Bombyx mori: one gene and its partners. The protein of the gene in region 3 purifies or fractionates together with the protein of the main gene of each other region. This does not show direct contact. Links are inferred from orthologs where the notes say so. Each region holds a gene or a part of one and is shown on either strand. Other genes may lie near its edges. The genes, in order: nucleoporin Nup43, tRNA N6-adenosine threonylcarbamoyltransferase and EKC/KEOPS complex subunit TP53RK.

Region 1 (4,156 bases), on a different chromosome or scaffold from region 3:
AAGTAAAATCGCACCAGTTTCATGTAGCACAGACATTCTTTCCGTAAACAATGGTATTTTAGCTTCATTATCCCCTCTCATTATCATTTCTAGTTGTTCTGTAGTTATCTTCGAATAGTATTCTGGGTTTGTTATATCATAACCTTCCTGAAACAGAGTGAATATACATATCAGCTTTCATTTTATAACTGCTCTTTGTCCTTAGCTTAAATTCAGTATTCTTTAAAAATAATGCTTGTTTTATACATAATAAAGAATACTGTTGTTATTATTGTCAATTAAATGTGCTTTTGACAAGGTCTAACAGTGCAATAATGATATCTGAGCACTCAATTTACATTATTATAATAAATACCTTAATTGCTCTATCAAGGGCAGCCTCCAAAGCATAATACCCAGAATGTCCACCAACAGTCCATTTCAGAACTCCACTGTATGACCAGAAACAGAAGTTTAACGTGTCCGCAACAAACACCCAGTCCACAGCCCTTGGGTGTTCAACATTAGGATGTATACCTGTTCCTGCATCAGGGATTTCCAGTTTACTTGTAGAAATTGACGTGAGTATCTATAAACAATGAATATAATTTGATTGTGAGTAACTGTAAATTAATGTTTATTAGTTGAAGTTCTAAGACTATTTTTTTTTACCTTTACCCTTTGTCTGAGGATGAACTCACAGCCCACATGATGTTAAATGTTAGTTACTGCATCTTATGATGTCACAATGCAAAAGTTGTCACATACCTTGAAACATAAAGTCTAAGGTTGTTACACCCTTCAAACCAGTATGCAATAAAGATTAACATGTTTATTGTTTTTCTTTTCTAATACTATTAGCCTTAATAGATTAAACTGGAACTACAATATAAATTAAATAAAGTTTACCTCTTTACATGCTTTATCTAATCCTTCTTCATGTATCTGTACATGCTTGGCATATCTAGCAATAAATTCACCGGCTTTTGCTGGCAGCAAAACAACTTCGTCATCCATGGTTATAAAATGATAGTCTGAATAAAAAGTGAAGGTGGATAGAAAATTTCAATTTGAATTTAATTGTACTAGAGTGATTTACAGTTACAGCTATGATATTCACATTAAATAAAGCAGGAACACAAAAATTTGTTATCTTCAACATCTGTGATTTTAAAAGATAAAGATATCCAAGTGCACTCTGATTGGCTAAATAACTTAAATCATAGATTATACACTTAATATATTCGAGAAATAATAAAAAAGCATTAAAAAAGTTAACGCTAATGAATGATAGAACGGTAGGTTTAAATGTCTATGGGTATACACATAAATATATACGCGAGGAGTGAAGTTGTATGATTTGTTTTATTTTGTCTATTTAGTGTTTCTTCAGGTTTAAATGTGTAATAATGGTGGTTTATTAACTGTTTAATATCTGTGAAAGTGCACAAATGTGGGAAAATAAAACAAAGCCGCTGGACGTAACTTTTCGGGATCCTCAAAAAAGTCCACTTAAAAGTCTCAGTAAATGACCACCATTTTACTGAGATTTATGTCATCCCATATCATCTCATATCATTTAATTTAATTTCATCCCAGTTGATTAATGTCTCAGTTTAATAATCTTCATTTCATTTCATTTCACTCCATATTATCATTTTTCATGAAAATAATACTTAAAATTAAAATAAAACATGACTTAAAGGTCTTAGTTACCTGGTCATAAAATCCTTTTAAAAAAATTTTTACAGCACAGAAAAGCATCAGAAAGTCCAGAAACAGGGAAGTGTGTTTATTTATCTTCTGTTGTGTTCTTGTTCATTTTATGACCCATTTGTATACAAAAATGTCAATAGATATTCAAGGAACGTTTGTTTCTCAAAAAATAAATAAAGTCAGATGGATTCCTGAAGATTATGCTGAAACAAAATGTTTTCTCACCGGTAGTTGGGATGATGAGGTCAACTTAATAACAGTTTGGACTTTTGAAAGTGTTAACGAAGACGAAGAGGTAGAATATCCTCGTGCCCTTACCAAGTATCCAGTAGATGATGATGTTACACAAATAAAATTCACGGAAAAAAACAAAATAGCCGTTTCAATATCTAATGGTGATGTAAAAATACTTGAAATTAGTGCTTATGATAAACAAACACCACTTAAAGAAATATTTTCTTGGAAGTCTTTACATAACTACGGGTGAGGTTCTAGTTTTTTTTAAACTACTAAAAGGTTAAAGCAGTTAAAACTACAATTCACGAAAACCAGAGCATACTGAAGTCAGGTGTTATGTTGTAACTGCTTTGGCACAGCATGGTAACAATAGGCACACACACCAAACATCGAGCCAGCTATCCATATCACTCTCAATGCATTCTACCAGTCAGCAAATCATTAATTACCAATTCTATCATCAAGTAACTTAAGATGTAAATTACTTTATTTGAGTAAACATACTATAAAATGTTTTCAACAATTTATATCTAATATTTTATCAACAATAACAATTTCTGTTCATTTTTTTCTAATTTTGAAGATGAATTTTATGCCTTTTTAATATAAGAATTTTAATAAATACCACAAAATATCTACACCAATGTTACAATGAAACATCAAAGTTTTATTACCTGATATTGTAACCACCAAAGAAAAAAATGTATAATTGTGTACTTTTTGTAATATTCCTACCTATGAAGCTGCCAATCATGTCGTTTTCTAGAAAACTGCTACACATTCAGTTCTTTTAAAAAAAAAGGAAATGACTGATAAGTGTTTGAATTATTTGAAAATAGCACACATAACTAATTCTTAACTCGTAACAAATGCTTTATTTCAGTAATACAAAATGCTCTGCAACATCTTTGGATACATATGAAGGAGACATAGCTAGTATTGGTGAGGATGGCAATGTGAACATATTGAGTGGCCGAAGGGGTGAAGTCAACCGTACAATCAAAGGGGCTGATAGCTGTTCATTGCATTCCATTTGTTATTTAAAACACACAGAGGTAAATCCTTAATCTCTAACTTTTTGATTAACAGAGAGTAAGTTTTAGTTTTCTTAAATATAGAATGACCAAATCAAATGATGTTTTCTTCGGTTCATAGACATACACACAGTCATAGACATCACACATCATAGACAGACATAGCGATTCAAAGACAAGTATAAAAATTACTTGTATGGTTAATAAAAATAATTTAATTTACAATAAAAATGCGAGACAGTAAATCATAAAATTAGTTTTCATTACAGAAAAAATGTTATTTTTTTTTTAATTTTTCATGCTTATATTTTTATCAACTCTGAATGGACTACTCAGAAATTCTTTTTATCTTATTCCTGATTCCCATACAAAATTGAAATCTACATATAAAATGTTATTACATATTTATTTGTAGTCGTATGTTATTTGTAGTCGTCGTGGCCTAATGGATAAGACGTCTGGTGCATAAGTGTTGAGGCGATGCACCGATGTTCGAATCTCAGGCGGGTACCAATTTTTCTAATGAAATACATACTCAACAATTGTTCACGATTGACTTCCACGGTGAAGGAATAACATCGTGTAATAAAAATCAAACCCGCAAAATTATAATTTGCGTAATTACTGGTGGTAGGACCTCTTGTGAGTCCGCACGGGTAGGTACCACCACCCTGCCTATTTCTGCCGTGAAGCAGTAATGCGTTTTGGTTTGAAGGGTGGGGCAGCCGTTGTAACTATACTTGAGACCTTATAACTTTATCTCAAGATGGGTGGCGCATTTACGTTGTAGATGTCTATGGGCTCCAGTAACCACTTAACATCAGGTGGGCTGTGAGCTGTGAGTAAAAAAAAAAATATTGTTCTGATTCTTATAAACTAAATAAAAGTAAAGAAAAGATAAAGTTCATTGATAAATGTTTTCATTGCCTATACAACAGATCAACAAATAAATATTACTTACAAATAGTCAATAGAACAGCGAGTACAAAAAAATCATTTTTATCAAAGAAAATAAAATGTTCATTATTATTATAAGAAACTATAAACAAGAGCTGGCTTTACCACAAGGTATATATTTATAAGAAACAATAAAAAAAAGTATTTTTACAGGTTATAACAGGTAACATTCGAGGCCACATCAAAATTTGGGACCTTCGATCTGAAGTAGACAAACCCGCTGCATCATTCTT
Region 2 (4,363 bases), on a different chromosome or scaffold from region 3:
AACAGGAAATGTGGATGATCAAGAAGAGCCATTGTCTATGGAAGTTGGATATGATTATTCTAACACTGTAAAAGAAACTATAACTATCTTAGACAAAACGGATGAAGATAATATGCAAAGCTCTGCTGACTTAGATGACATACAAATTACTTGTGGACAACAGGTTACTATCTCACAAGATGAAAATGATAAAGCTGATCAAGATATAATTAAAGACGTCAAGAGTAGTGAAGATATTGATAATGATATTCCTATAGAAAATGGTATTGATAAATCACATGAAAAGATTATCGAAAATGGTGTTATTCATGATCCATCCAATGTTTCTGAAGATGTAGCTATATTAAATACGAAGGAAATTACTGTCGAAGATATGCTTGCTGATTTCGTCGATGAGGTGAATGAAGACAATAAAACCGAGTCATGAAAATTTCCAACATAATAAAAATAAGCTTTGGTTTATTTTGCACTTAATTTAAAATATTTTTATACTTGATTTTGATGTATATGATTGTGCTATACCAATAAATGTGGAAAATAATAATACAAATATTCATACGTAATTTTACCCAGTACGACCATTATTCATTTGGCAAGTATGTTATTTCTTCATCATGAAAGAAATTCGTGAATACTTTTTACATACGTAGGTATTCCATTAGGGAAATTGATACTAGGATTTAAATACGAGTGAAATGGAACGAGTAATAAAGTTGATATGCAATGAAATAATGTCGCAGTTCGTTGATGGGATTTTCAGAATCCACGATCAGAGAATTTCTTTCATTTTCTTAGATTCGTGAACTTTTACAAGTGAAACTTTTTTAATACGTCTCACTTAATAGACCTGTAAATCTGAAACACTAAATTAACCAATTCCATCATTTCACAAATGTCTTGTGTTCTAGCCTCAAAAGTTCATAGGCCTGTTAAATGTTTAGTCTATATAAGCTTAGGCTAACTTGGTGGGACTTTAAATAGATCAACGATGGAAGCGTGTTATTGAATTTAAAAATGGGATAAAGAGTGTATGACCTGGTAACTGAGACCTTTAAGTCATGTCCTATTTTAATTTATATTCTTATTTTTATGAAAAATGATATTAAGGAGTGAAACGAAACGAAAAAAAGATGATTAATTTAAGACATTAATCAACTGGGATGAAATATAATCTCAGTAAAATGGTGGTCATTTACTGAGACTTTTTCAGTGGACTTTTTGGTAGATCCCGAGAAGTTCAGTGGCTTTGTTTCATTTTCCCACATTTGTGCACTTTCACAGATATTAAACAGTTAATAAACCACCCCTATTACACATTTAAACCTGAAGAAACACTAAATAGACAAAATATAACAAATCACACAACTTCACTCCTCGCGCTCCCGCCAAAAAGTCTACAATTGTTATCTCATCAATTTATCATAGATAATAGTACAGTTTATTATCTATATTTACATTTTAATTTTTACACCATGTATAATCTATGTTTTACACATATTAAGTGTATAATCTATGTTTTACACTATTTGTGTTAAGGAAATAATGCTCCGTTGTTTACGCTTATAAATTATAGAATTGAATCGAATAAAAATGGTAGTAGCAATAGGATTTGAGGGAAGTGCAAACAAACTGGGAATTGGTATAGTTAAAGATGGAGAAATCTTGGCCAATTGCAGAAGAACGTACATAACCCCACCCGGTGAAGGTGAAATTATCATTATTTTTAAATAAAACAATAAAATTATAGCTTAAATCATAGCTCAGTAAATTTACAATTATAAATTATCTTTATAATGTTTATCTTACACAGTATTTTATACGGAAGCTTGTGTTTTTTGTAGCAAATATACACCAATTTTTTTGTGACCTATCCTGATTTTGGAAAAAACTTCCTATACTCTGTTTGAGTTGAGCGCTAGATTAGTACTAGGAGTACGTAACAGTATTTTGTTCCATACAACTTCAGTTGTTAACATCCAAGAGTGACACGGACCATTTAAGATCAGATGGGCTGAAAGCAAGTCAGCCTTTTTTGCAATTTTTTCCCGTCAAAAGTAAAGTATAAGTATAATTGGATTTCCAGGGTTTCTTCCTAGAGAAACTGCGGAGCATCATCAACAAAACATTCATGAAGTATTGCAAGAAGCTTTGGACCAGTCTGGTCTCAATCCAGATGAAATTGACGTTGTCTGTTATACCAAAGGACCTGGTATGGGGGCGCCATTGATGGTGTGTGCAATTGTTGCCAGAACATGTGCTAAACTATGGAAAAAACCTATTTACGGTGTAAATCATTGTATTGGACGTATCCTTTTTGAAAAAATCATTCAACTAACAATGCTAATTACTAAAATGAAAAATATTGCTATTGTTATGTTTGAAATCAGATTTTTTTTAAATCTTAAGTTCTAAAACTATTAATTGAAATAAACACAAAATTTGTCTGTCTATAAATAAAATCATCAATTATTTTTTCTTACAACAATCACGTCAGATATAGAAATGGGAAGGTTGATAACCAAAGCAAATAATCCAACAGTGCTATATGTGAGTGGAGGGAATACACAAATTATAGCATATTCAAGAAAAAGATACAGGATATTTGGTGAAACTATTGATATAGCTGTTGGCAACTGCTTAGATAGGTGGGATGATAGCCACTATGAACATTTTTTTAATTGCTTTAATTATGTGACTTAAACTAGGCTTTTTTCAGGTTTGCTAGAGTTTTGAAATTGTCTAATGCTCCAAGTCCAGGTTATAACATAGAACAAGCTGCTAAAAAAGGAAAAAAGTATTTGCCCTTACCATATTGTGTTAAAGGTTTGTTAATTATTTTTTTTACTTAATTTACTACTCGAGAATCTGTGCAGATCGGGCGTGGGTTGAGCGTCAGCGGAGCTTGTTTGCTATCAATAGATTTAAGGTATGATCTACTGTGTGAAATAGGAAGGATGATTTTTTATTGCTTACTCAGGTGAAAGGGGTTATGACCTATCTGGTGTTAAGTGTTTACTAGAGCTCACAGACATCAACAATCTAAAGCTTGAAATATATTATATTATCATCATAAACATCTTGAAATATAAATTCTAAGTCTTTGTTCTATTTATTATACAGCAACTGCCCCACTGTTCAAACAGGAATTGCTTTGTGTCATAAATAGATAGGTACCTATTTGTGCAGGATTACAAGAGACTACCACCTGTATTATGCATATTATAGTTTTTGCAGGTATGATTTTTGTTGTATAGTGCTCTTAGCAGTGTCATTCTACTGCATTTGCAAACAGAGCATTGAACATCTTCATCATCACATGCTGTATGAATCTATGTAAATCATGACAAATATGGATAGTCGTGTTTTTGATGTGATTTGTGTTAAAATTAAAATAGTTTGTATAAAAAAGTGATCCTTGCAATCAGTTATCTGCTGCTGAATTTGGAATCTTTAAATCAGTATTTATATATTTACTTTTGTAAACTACATGTTTTTGAGTAAACTGAACTTTCTTTTAGGAATGGACGTAAGTTTTTCTGGTATCCTATCGTACATGGAGGATAAAATTGACGAATTATTGAAAGAATATACTCCGGAAGACTTATGTTATTCTTTGCAAGAAACTGTTTTTGCAATGCTAGTGGAGATCACTGAACGAGCTATGGCTCACTGCGGTTCTGATGAGGTTTAATTTTTTTATATATTGAAAACTTTTCTTTGAACATTATCGATTTTTTAAATATATCGACATTGTTTTTTTCTTTCTCAGGTATTAATAGTAGGTGGAGTTGGGTGCAATGAGCGACTTCAAGAGATGATGGGAGTAATGTGTCATGAACGAGAGGCTAAGATATTTGCTACCGATGAGAGATTTTGCATAGATAATGGAGTGATGATAGCATATGCTGGTGCCCTTGCTCATGCTTCTGGCACTCGCATGGATTTCAAAGATGCAACAATTACACAAAGATATAGGACAGATGATGTTCTTGTTACGTGGCGAGATGATTAAATATTTATACTATAATGTAGTGTTAATTTTCTTTTACCTTTAAGAACCGTTTTTGAAGCTTAAAAAGATTTTTAAGACTTTTTAAGAATTTATAAGGACGTAAGTCCTTTCGCTCGCAGCGGTGGTCACTTTGTATCGCTTGGTTGGATTTCCATCCTCTTTCCCAGGGTTCAAACTATTTTCGCTAGAACTATGACACTATTACAAAATAATTACACAATTAAAGCCCGGTTTCCACCGCGAGCGGAACGGACCCATTAATTACTCCTGTTACCTCTCAATACAAAACTGCATACATGTGTTTCCACCAACAAAAAGTCGAGTGTAAATGACGAGGGCGAAAAGAGTAAA
Region 3 (3,319 bases):
CATTAAACAATTATTTAAATACTTACACAAAAAAAACATACTAGATAATCAAGACTTACGCTAAGAAAAAAACACTTACATATTTTTTATTTTTCAACGGTTCGGTATCAAGGACGTAGCGTGACGTCATTAATTAATTAATAAAATCGTTCTCATAAAATCTGTCTGCAATTTCCCGTTGCCCGCTAAAACGGGAGGGCCATGGTATGACGGTTGTGGGCGCGTCTTCATCCTACACGCATACATATCAATGCTAAAATGCGCCCAGACATTTCTATAGGACATTTCATCCCCCTACCACAGCCCTACATTTGTAGTTATGTACTTACATTGCACTAACACGAAGAGGCTATATCCACATTTATTGCCGTGTTGAGATCACTTTTCTCTTTGTAAATAATGTAATATACCTTTTTTTAATAAAAAGTTTAGTACCGAATCACTCAGCATCGGTTAATTTATGTGCAATAAAAATCTAAGTATTTATTCATAAATATTTTTCGAATTAGAAATATCCTAAAAAAGGATTTTTCGGGGAAAATTGTATTCCTTTCAATATTTCATTATTGCCTACTTGAGGTTAATCTAGTACCTACCAAATTAAGGGAAAAAAAACGAAAAAGAAGATCCTAGGTACTTATTTTTTTGTAATGTTAAAAAATAATCTAAATCGATTATAAATATTGTGTATGTAAATCAGGACGTTTACATTTTTGGCAGGCTCGCCACCGAATTAATTTTTTGTGGTTACTCACTTTTCTAGGTCCATTCTGCACAATAGTTTCGTATTCCAAACCCTCCGACATTGCTCTCACGAATTACTAAGATCACAGCAGAGTACAGTCTTTCAGTTCGGTATGTCGCATCAAACGGACACTTGTGTTCGATAACTAATATTTAACAGCCACCGGAATGGTTGAACGTCGAACCGGCACGAAAATAATCGTATAAATCACCGTTCCTTCAGTTAAATTATTATTATCATAAAATATACGAAGTTAACGCGTGGTGCCGCCGATCGGCACTGCGTACAATTCACGATTCACGCCCACAGCCTCCAACTCTCTATCTAGCTGCATTATGCACAGTAATATGTACATATCACATAAGTACATATACAGCAGGACGATAAGTAGGTAGGTATATATAGAATGTTTCGTTCCAATACCAAAGTCATGAAAGGTGCCGTCTACTTAAGACGAATTCGACATTCGCTACGAACTGCATTTCATTTTACGTAAATTAGCTTGACTACATATTTTTTGTTTATTTTCGTACAATTCCACGACTTATGTTATGTTCCTTATCGTTTATAAATAAGAGCCGATGGCCATTTTGGTTGGGGTAACCATTTCCATGTTTTTCCTTGCTCGGTACCTACACACTTTATGAGTATGGTGGCTTAGTTTAGATTCACACACACCCGCAAAGTTTTCACTATAAAAATATCAGGGTTAACTATAAAAAAAAATTACGGAAAATTGTATTCTACACACTTCTGCACAAGATGTTAAATTTATATTTATAATATTTTCTTTGCTTCAATGAGAAAACCTCATCAGGTTAGTTTTTTCTTCAATGTGGACGCAAAGTTACAAATAACAAACAAGCAAGGGCTGTCTCTAGTTACTATTTTCTTGTAGACTGTTTTAAATATTTTGTTTAAGGTAGCCCGTGCTAAGTTTGATAAATTCTTCATAATGTCAATTGTCAAGTAACGATGACAAATATCTTGTCATATGGTTCATCAACAAACTTCAACAAAGTAATACCTTCTCTGTTTATTTACAGTAGCTTCATTACATACCTCAGAGTTTTAATAATTAATTATAATTGTTCATTGAGGTAAGTAATGATAGCGAAAAGTGTATTCTGGAAGGTTAATCATAAGGAAACGCATAATAAATTCAATTTGATTCTGAACAATTTATAGGTTATATTTACAAAATGACTGAAGATTTGAAGATATTAAAACAAGGAGCTGAAGCAAAATTGTACATTTGCAATTATCTTGGAAGACCTACATTGATCAAGGAAAGGTTCGTTAAAAATTACAGACATCTTGATTTAGATACAAATATAACAAAAGAGAGAATTAAAAATGAAGCACGTTCCATTGTACGCTGTAAAACAGCCGGAATTCGTACACCGGCTTTATATTTAGTTGATTTTGAGCGTCGTCGAATTTACATGGAACATTTCGAACGGAACGTAACTGTCAAAGATTTTATCATAAATTTGACGAAAACTGGCAGTGAAAATGAAACAAACAGCCTGAACATACTAGCCAAAATGATTGGCGAAACTGTTCGAACATTACACGACACCAACATTATACACGGAGACTTGACAACTTCTAATATATTGTTGATACCGAAAAATGACAATGATAATTGGATTCAATGCTGTGAATTTCATTTGGTCATGATTGATTTTGGTTTATCATATGTTGACTCTAGTGCCGAAGACAAAGGCGTTGACCTATATGTCCTAGAAAGGGCATTAATAAGTACCCACAATGACTATCCAGAGTTATTCAATAAAATGTATGATGCATACAAAAGTTCTAGTAAGAGCAATATAAAAGAAATCATCAGTAAATATGAAGAAGTCAGAGCTAGAGGGAGAAAGAGAACTATGGTTGGTTGAGTTGTTATTAAAACATTTTACCACTTATTATTTTTGTTTTGTACTTAATATGTCATATTTAAAAGTAAACTGGCTAAAAATTCCGAGTGGAATGGGTTATAGTGTCATCAGCATATATGCTGATAACAAAAATTGGGATTTTTTTAAATGTAAAATGAAGAAGTAATTTAAACCAGGGAATATGATCGCCTTGTTTGTCTAGTAGTTACTGCTGACAATAGTCAATAGTATAATAATACTGCAGGGCTGGTTTCAATTTCCAGTTGGAACTAGTATTTCAATAAACAAATATTTGTAGTCTGGGTTTGACTGTTCTTGTTTTATTTCTGTTTTCAATCAAATTATAACTGTGCTGTTGAACATGGTATATCTATTATATTATAATGTAAAATGGGAATGTGTATGTATGTGCTATAAATACAGAACACTAAACAAGTTAGTGGGCAAAAGATCTTATTCAGACACATGTCGTGACACCCTGAACTTCCCTGGCTTCTACTACTTTCAATTTGTATGAAGCTGCAATAGCTTCCTCTTTCCCTTGCTATCATAAATTCTTCTACTCCTAATTCCTATCACGCATGAATTAGGAACTTCGTGCTACCGACACATTTGGCGCTTATGTTGGAAAAAACATTTATTCCATACATCCATGACAAAGATTTAATGT

Evidence for each region.
Region 1: the proteins of EKC/KEOPS complex subunit TP53RK (region 3) and nucleoporin Nup43 purify together in Homo sapiens (affinity purification with mass spectrometry; 3 studies listed by BioGRID and IntAct, counting the BioPlex papers as one, with this or other methods). This does not show direct contact. The link is inferred for Bombyx mori from reciprocal best matches to the Homo sapiens genes TP53RK and NUP43.
Region 2: the proteins of EKC/KEOPS complex subunit TP53RK (region 3) and tRNA N6-adenosine threonylcarbamoyltransferase purify together in Homo sapiens (affinity purification with mass spectrometry; 5 studies listed by BioGRID and IntAct, counting the BioPlex papers as one, with this or other methods). This does not show direct contact. The link is inferred for Bombyx mori from reciprocal best matches to the Homo sapiens genes TP53RK and OSGEP.

The regions. Positions count from the first base shown.
Region 1 is NC_085111.1:1,602,227-1,606,382, forward strand, and holds the start of nucleoporin Nup43, read left to right. Parts: upstream 1-1,315; 5' UTR 1,316-1,430; coding exon 1,431-1,503; intron 1,504-1,730; coding exon 1,731-2,178; intron 2,179-2,815; coding exon 2,816-2,987; intron 2,988-4,076; coding exon 4,077-4,156. Other genes in the region: queuosine 5'-phosphate N-glycosylase/hydrolase, read right to left, coding at 1-147, 356-568, 889-996. UniProt on the Homo sapiens protein: Component of the Nup107-160 subcomplex of the nuclear pore complex (NPC). The Nup107-160 subcomplex is required for the assembly of a functional NPC.
Region 2 is NC_085117.1:15,245,580-15,249,942, forward strand, and holds tRNA N6-adenosine threonylcarbamoyltransferase, read left to right. Parts: upstream 1-1,418; 5' UTR 1,419-1,590; coding exon 1,591-1,705; intron 1,706-2,083; coding exon 2,084-2,305; intron 2,306-2,494; coding exon 2,495-2,645; intron 2,646-2,716; coding exon 2,717-2,823; intron 2,824-3,518; coding exon 3,519-3,685; intron 3,686-3,769; coding exon 3,770-4,012; 3' UTR 4,013-4,027; downstream 4,028-4,363. Other genes in the region: proline-, glutamic acid- and leucine-rich protein 1, read left to right, coding at 1-427. UniProt on the Homo sapiens protein: Component of the EKC/KEOPS complex that is required for the formation of a threonylcarbamoyl group on adenosine at position 37 (t(6)A37) in tRNAs that read codons beginning with adenine.
Region 3 is NC_085126.1:11,106,208-11,109,526, reverse strand, and holds EKC/KEOPS complex subunit TP53RK, read left to right. Parts: upstream 1-1,290; 5' UTR 1,291-1,562; intron 1,563-1,619; exon of another isoform or gene 1,620-1,845; intron 1,846-1,933; 5' UTR 1,934-1,947; coding exon 1,948-2,649; 3' UTR 2,650-2,676; downstream 2,677-3,319.